Linked DNA regions of Sus scrofa. The protein of the gene in region 1 binds, or shares a complex with, the protein of each later gene. Links are inferred from orthologs where the notes say so. Each region holds a gene or a part of one and is shown on either strand. Other genes may lie near its edges. The genes, in order: ERC1 and PPFIBP1.

The links.
Region 2: ERC1 (region 1) and PPFIBP1 share a complex: the UniProt entries of both Homo sapiens proteins name them as parts of the cortical microtubule stabilization complex. The link is inferred for Sus scrofa from reciprocal best matches to the Homo sapiens genes ERC1 and PPFIBP1.

Annotation. Positions count from the first base shown.
Region 1 is NC_010447.5:68,250,975-68,254,790, reverse strand, and holds part of ERC1 (ELKS/Rab6-interacting/CAST family member 1), read right to left. Parts: intron 2,914-3,816; 5' UTR 2,759-2,913; coding exon 2,090-2,758; intron 1-2,089. UniProt on the Homo sapiens protein: Regulatory subunit of the IKK complex. Probably recruits IkappaBalpha/NFKBIA to the complex. May be involved in the organization of the cytomatrix at the nerve terminals active zone (CAZ) which regulates neurotransmitter release.
Region 2 is NC_010447.5:46,220,080-46,223,995, forward strand, and holds the start of PPFIBP1 (liprin-beta-1), read right to left. Parts: upstream 2,801-3,916; 5' UTR 2,594-2,800; intron 1-2,593. UniProt on the Homo sapiens protein: May regulate the disassembly of focal adhesions. Did not bind receptor-like tyrosine phosphatases type 2A.

The DNA.
Region 1 (3,816 bases):
GCTATCACAGATGCACTTGGATCTTGACTTGCTGTGACTGTGGCTGTGGTGTAGGCTGGCAGCTGTAGCTCAGATTCAACCCCTAGCCTGGGAACTTCCATATGCCATGTGTACAGACCTGGAAAAAGAAAAAAATTTAAAAAATAGCCCTCCCCATTGTCAGTTTCAAAAAAAAAAAAAAAAAAAAAAGACCTTACCTGCTAAAACATATATTGTTCCATTTCTCCAACCACCAGTATTTGAAAGTTCAGTAACAAAAGTAGTATGAAACATAAAAATAGATGGATATTTATTTTAGAAAGAATCTTCTAAAAGGACTTCATAATAATGAATCAGGCACATTAGACATTCTAAGCACAGGTGTATTTTTCATTTGATAGGATTCTAGACAAGATCTCTATGGTCCAATCAAATCAAACATTTAGAATGTATCTAAATCCCCGATCTCAAACTGAAATGGGGAAATTTGTTTAATTACTGTAAATCCTATTAAACCAATCTTCTCTGTAAAGTGGAAAATGTCTGACCTCTGAGGGCTGTGGAGGGTGTAATGAATGCAGAGTTTAATTAGGGCCCACTGCTGGCTCACTATAATCTATTAATTAGCATTCTCAGTTCTCTATATCTCATTGCAGTGTTTCACTTTGCTTTAAAATTGCACCCTTCGTTTTTTGGACCAAAGTGATACAATTTTAGGATTGTGTGGTAATTACAGTGGGTGCAGGAAGCATCTATTCCTGCCAGCACTAGTATTTAATTAGGGCAAGGGGCGGAATCTAGATAAAGCAGTGTTCACCCTCCCTCAGTGCATATGGTTTTTTGGCATCATAGCCCTGCGGACTGTTTCCCTTCCCCTGGATTGAACTGCTGAGTCCCCACCATAGTCTTTACAGAAGACTCCAATATTTTGCCTTTGAATGTAGCTTGGTAATTAGAGAGGTTATTGCCATTGCTTTTTATTCACAGATCTTTTAAAGTATAGGCATAATTAGCTGCCTGAATTACTTGAAAATAAAGAAGCCAGTATTTTTTTCCTCATTAAAATGAATATTTCCAAGTTGCTTGATAATAAAAACCATCCTGGTGATAGGAATATTTTCAGCAGCATCACAAAGGTACTTTGGAGGCTACTTAATCCAATGATGAATTTAATAACCTCAATTTAACATTCAACTCCTACCAAAATCCACTTTATATTTTACATATAATCAATCACACCAAGTTGCCTTTCTTCCACCCTAAATCCTTAAATTTGAAGAAATAAAAAATTCTTAAAAAAGAAAAAAAAAAAAAGGATCCTGAAGTTAAACTTCATAAATGTGAAAGAACTGCTACTCATTTTTGGTACTTAATACATATTTACACCATTAATATTAACTTTTAACTAATATCCATTCTATACTGTCAACATATGAATCTGCCTTGTGATAGTTTAAGATTTTTTAAAATATTTACAAAGGTAAATCTTAATACTACACCGCACACTTAAATTACATAGCCTGAATAATTTTTTTTTTTTTTGTCTTTTTAGGGCCACACCCGAGGCACATGCAGGTTCCCAGGCCAGGGGTCCAATCGGAGCCTGACTACAACATAGCCACAGCAACTAAGGATCTGAGCTGCATCTGCGACCTATACCATGCCGGATCCCTAACCCACTGAGCAAGGCCAGGGATCGAACCTGTGTCCTCATGGATGCTGGTCAGCTTCATTGCCGCTGAGCCATGACGGGAATTCCACAGCCTGAATAATTTTGACGACAGACCTTAGAGCATGTAGGAAAATTACATTCTCACAAGATTTCAAAAAGGTAATATATGCTGAAGGAAAAGAAGAGAAAGAGAAGCTAGGGAAAAGAAATGCAAGTATGGTGAGCAACCAGAAAACAATTAAGGCACAGAACCAATTTGGAAAAGGCTGAGACACAGAGAACATAAAATACTAAGAATAACAGGAAAAAGGAAAATAAATGAGCCAAGAAGGGAAAAACCTCAGAAAGAAAAGAAAAAGAATAGCTCATTTCATTTACACACATGAATTCAGTTTCACTTATTCAGAGCACGTAAAGGCAAACACATATAAAACCAACCTGGTTTTCCTCCTGCACAACTCTATACTGTTCCTTCCAAATAGTGATTTTGGAAGCTTCATCTTTTCTCAGGGCTCGTTCTTTCTTCAGCTCTGGGCTCCAGAAGGTCTTGATGCTATTCATTGAAGAACTTAATTTGCTCTCCTTTACTTCTACATCCTTTCGCAAGAGATCATTCTCTCTTAATACTTCCTTCAGCTGTGTCTGAAGATCCATGATTGTATTATCTCTTGCCTGACGAAGAGAGTGAGGAACGGTAGATGCCATGCTCACAGGAGGGAGGTGATGCTCTCCAAATGCGATAGTGTCACTAGCAACCCCACTGCTCGCTATATTGGGGCTACTGCCCATGGCAGTCATCCTCACACCATAAGGCAGACGTCCTCCAGATCGGCCAAGTGTCATGGTGCTTTTAGGTGTTTCTGAACCCACATTTTCATGGTCACTTAGGTACATAGGGCCAGAAGTGGCATAGGCAGCATTCAAGGATTGAATATTCTCCATTGAAAGGGTTTTCCCACTGCCACCTCCGACACTGCTTCCAGAACTCCCTCCTGTACTATTGGTTCGACGATGACCCAAGCGAGGGGAACGTGGAAGCCTAGGTGAACGCCCAGGGCTCTGGTTGCTTGATTCCACCTTCCCAACTGAGCGAGCACTTCCATACATGGTTGCAAGTGAATTCAGGTGCCAGGACAAGTGTAAAGCAAAACCAAAATATGGAACTCTCTGAGGTTTCTCTATGGCTGTAAGTCCGCTTAAGGCTAATCAGAAATAACAGGTCCTCAGCTGTCCAATCTTGAAGAAATAGCTTACGCCATTATCTGCAATGAAAAGATCACACATTAACTCCTCCAATAAGAAACATTTCCCTTCTCAGACACTTTTAACTGACCCCACTTGAGGAATAGCTCCCCTTTAATCATGTTTACTCATGCATTTGTTCAGAGCACAACTTATTTCTCAGTAAACATCACTCTAAAAACATCCACCATGTCTCAAAACTGAATATTGAAACCAAACCAAGCAAATGGAAAAGAAAAAGAAATAAGAGGTATAAAGATTAGCAAGGAAAAGAAAAAAATAGTCAATGTGTGAATATACGATTTTCTAACTGGAAAACCCAACATCATCAACTGACGAGTTATTAGAACCAATAACAGAACTCAACCAACTGCTTAGGTACAGACCAATACATAAATATCAATACTTTCCTGTACATCAGTAATAATAATTAGAAAATGCATTTTTTAAATAGCAACAAAACCATAAAAACACTTTGATATCAATCTAACAAAAATGTTCAATAATTTTTGTAAAAAAACCATAAAACTTTCCTGAACAAAAGGAAAGTTATCCATGTTCAAGGATGAAAAGACAAACACTGTAAAGGTGTCAGTTCTTCCCCAACCACTTCACAGGCCAATGAAAATTTCTACGGCATCCTTCATAACCGGCTAACTCGAAAATTCAAACAGAAGAGGTAAGGTAAAACAGTAACGAAAACAATCTGAAACAGAAGAACAAAGGAAGACACTCCCTAAACAGCAATCTACATTATAAGTCCATGATTCTTTATTTGCAATACAAAAATTTTAAAAACTCTGAAAATAAGAGGGTTGTTTTTTTTTTTTTTTCATCTTAACTCACTCAGCAGCAAAACTTGGCATAATCTGATATGAGGTCACTTACTGTGGTTATTCATACACTTCACTGGGAAAACAATG
Region 2 (3,916 bases), about 22 Mb from region 1:
TAATTACAAAATACAAATATGTCATGAACATGAAAGACAGGTTTTAAAAAGAAGTCAGCTAGTCAGTAACTGAGGAGAAAAAAATGATCTTATTCTGATTTATCTCAGGCTGCTACTGTGAGTGACAAAAAGACTATATAAACAGTTAATGAACTCTCCTTTACTGAACTTGTTTCCAAAAAATGCCTACAATGCCCTTGAAATTAGGCACTATTAATCTGTAACTACACTGTGCACTGAATGTCAAGTCAACATCTGTCCATAAAGGCCAGATTCTCCTATTTTAAATAACTATCGCAACTATGATAGCTGCTGGTCAAAGAATTTAACCAAAACCTGATCCTACCTTTCTCAATAACTCAAACATTGTTCTAGTTTTGTCCCTTCTTTTGGCTATGGCACGCAGTGGCTTGATATGGCATCTCAGTTCCCAGACCAGGGATTGATCCCACGCCACAGCAGTGAAAACATCAAGTGCTAACCACCAGACCACCAGCGAACTCCCTCAAACTTTCTCCTTTGAAAGAACTGTGTTTTACTATATATCACATCTTCCTTCTACACACAGAGGGAGCAAGAAAAATACTGGTTAAACCAAGTATATAAAATTACTGTTACTATTCAAAAGTGTGAATGAAATGTAAAACTTTGATATATTCAAGTCCCTAAGCCAGGACTCGTTTCTTGAAAAGGAGTATAAATAAATTTGAACTTGGCTCATCAGGATAACATCCTTGAGATACTACCTGACTGGTTTTAGGCTCCAGTGAACTCTCACCAGCCCACAAAAATTCTACCTCACCTCTTGCTCTTTCCTGCTGAAAAAGTACATTGGAAAACACAGCATGATTTATGTCCTTCCTACAGAATATAAATAGAAACGATTTGGTCACCGTTATTTCAGAGACATGAGACAATTTCTGTTTCTTAGTCCAAAACACACATCGAAATGAAAATGTTCTGGCCTTTCCAGTCAAGCACACCTTCCCTTTGCAAAAAGCCTGATCTCTATCCACCTTGTGCTAATTAAATTTTCGAGAACAACAATACAGATCCAGGTGTTTTATAAACAACAGCAAAAACAAAACAAAACAAAAAAAAAAAACACACTTCTTTCTTGCCCTGAAACTTAACTGTCACCTGGTTAGAAAGACAGAGAACCTCATGTATGAAGTCTTGCATCTCCACACTTGCCAACTTGGGTTATCAGGTGCAATTTGGTGGCTTCTTTCTTTCCTCCTGTCGGGGAAATGCCCTTTGGTTCAGGCACCTGAGGTGCAGCTTTTGATTCACAGTGAAGTCCACAGTTTCCTCCCAACCTGGCAACAGAAGGCTCCTCACTGCTGAGGAACTCTGGTAAAAGCAAAGGGAAACCTGACTCAGGAGTCTCAGCGCAGACACTCTCTTTCCTTCTCCAAAAGAAAGAGCCTTCAGCGATGATGAGTGAGGATCCTGAATCAGTTTATGGAGTTAATTTTTTTCACCAGAAAACAACTGTAGGACCTGGGCACACAAAATCTCCAAGCAAGAAATAGAAAGGGTTTGAAACCACAAATAAGCAAAAATCAGAATTCTACACTTCCACTTGTCAAAATACCCTTTAGCTCTCGACAGGCCATTGCTTTCCCTAAATACCAAACTTAGACACTCAATCAGGTTCTTCATCTATTGCTCTCTGCACTTCTTATTGAAAGGAAGGATTTGTTTTGGTCCCACATGTTGGAAAATTCATGTTCCTATAATTAAGAGTTTGTATGCCACGCCTTCTGCCACATTTCCCTGTAAAAACTCCCTTCTCTAAAAAGGATCCATGAAAACAACTACCAGCCCTCATCTTTCTCTCAAGCAATCCACAGAAGACAGATCCAAAGGTTCTCGGCAGCCTTCCTAACCCCTCCAGATCACAAAGTTGGCAAGCCATGGGATTCTCCGCTAAAATGTAAGAATGAAAACGAGTTGGCGTTGAAGTGTGCCCCCAAGAGACCGGTTTTCCCACAGGCTCAATGAATTTCCCACACCCCAAATGAATTCCTCAAATCTTGACTATGGAAAAGGATTTTTTATGTTATTATGTAAGAATATATAAACATAACAATGACAGTCTTTCATTTAAAGCAACGCATAATAGGCCACAGGAGAACCAAAAAAATACAAAACTTTTCTCCTCTCTCAAAGAGCATAATGTTTGAGTCCATATTTCATAAACTTTTAGTGACATTTTAAAAGAACACCCCTACACACACACACACACACACACACACACACACACACACACACACACACACACACCACTCCTCTGATCGGGGTTCTCAAGTATTATTAGAAGACTAGGGTGTGGGGGGTTTAAGGACACAGTCAAGATTTTACATGTCGAATTCCGGAGGTATTTTTCCCATACAAACTAGTTGAGAGCCCCAGTTGTTAAGCCCTACCGCACCCCGCAAAAAGTGTGGGTTCCCACTGGGAGAGAGGAGTGAGCTGGGAGAGAGGAGTGAGCTGGAAAAGGAAATCGAGTGGGGAAAAGGAGGAGCAGCTACAACCACACAACGGTGCCACTGCTTGCCGGTCCCCAAGAGAGGACAAACGCCCTTACCTGGGGGAGGAGAGCCGCCCGCACGAGTTGCAAAAGTTCTGGTTCACCTTCGCTCGGAGTTCAAAGCGCCGGCCCTCTGCCCCCACGGCAGTCTGGCCACTCCGAGTCCTCTCCCGGCCGGCTCCCGCCTTCCCCACCCTCTCGGCCCTACACCATGTCAGGAATCCGGGCAGGCACCGAGCTGGGAGCTGACATCACTCCCAGTTCCAGGTACCTCCCCTCCCTCGCGCCCGCCCGCCCGCCTCCCTCCCCGCAGAAATTAGCCAAAGAGAGGACGCCGGGGGGGCGTTGGCGCGCCCCCGCTCGCGCTGATTGGGCCCGCGGGCTGTCAGTCAGAGGAGCCCACTAATTTTACACATTCCTCGCTGAGCCCGGCAAGGGCTGGAAGTGGGTGTTGATGGAAAAAAAATGCTGCCTTTCCTGCTATCTCTAAGGGAGGGAGAATAATGGTACGAGGAAGATCCTTGCGGGTGGCGTTTTAAACTTTTCTTGGCGCATTTACCCTCTCCCAGGTCGGAAACGAAACTAACCCACCCAAGCCCCCTTTTGAAGGAAAAACAGTCGCCTCTGTGTCACGGGCAAGTCCGAGTCCGGCGGCGCGTGGAGCAGAAAATGGCTAGCTTGAAGTCAGGCAAATAAAGGAAAACGCCAGCTCCCTCTGCTAACCCTTTTATCTTGGGACGGCTGGGCGTTCCCTTAGACGGGAAATTTAGAACTTCAAAAGCACTTCGGGAAGATGTGAAGGAGAATCCTAGAAACCGCGACCCAGCTCTGGGTTGTTAACCGGGGGTGTTATCCACCATGCGGCGGCTTTTGCTTTTAGCGATGGAAACCCAGCACACGAGCTTCCAGGCAAATAAAATTGAACCTCTGAAGAACAATTACTATTTACCTTTTTAAAGATCTTAAGGCTGCTGTTTCCATGCACAATTGAAGGGGGATGGGGGTGGGGGAACCTCACAATTGAGTTCAGCAAGCCACAGGAGAATAATTACTGTTGAATGGAACCAATTGCAGTGGCTGAGGAATCAATTAAGAATTAACTAACGTTTACGCTGACAGCTATCAGGCAGTATAATACTCCCGGCCAACAAAACAGAAAGATTCCCAGGAAATGGGTCTTTCAGTTTGCCTAATAACTGCTTGCAAGGCAGGACTAAATGGTGAAAAGTGGCCCTCTTTACATGATATATAGATATATTATCCATCATCTTCTGGAATTACAATGAATGAATTATTGGTTTCCTGTTGGATTTTATTGTTTGTTTTTTTGATGGATGACACGTCATACATTTCACCATCCTGCCAAAAATTGTAGAAGGG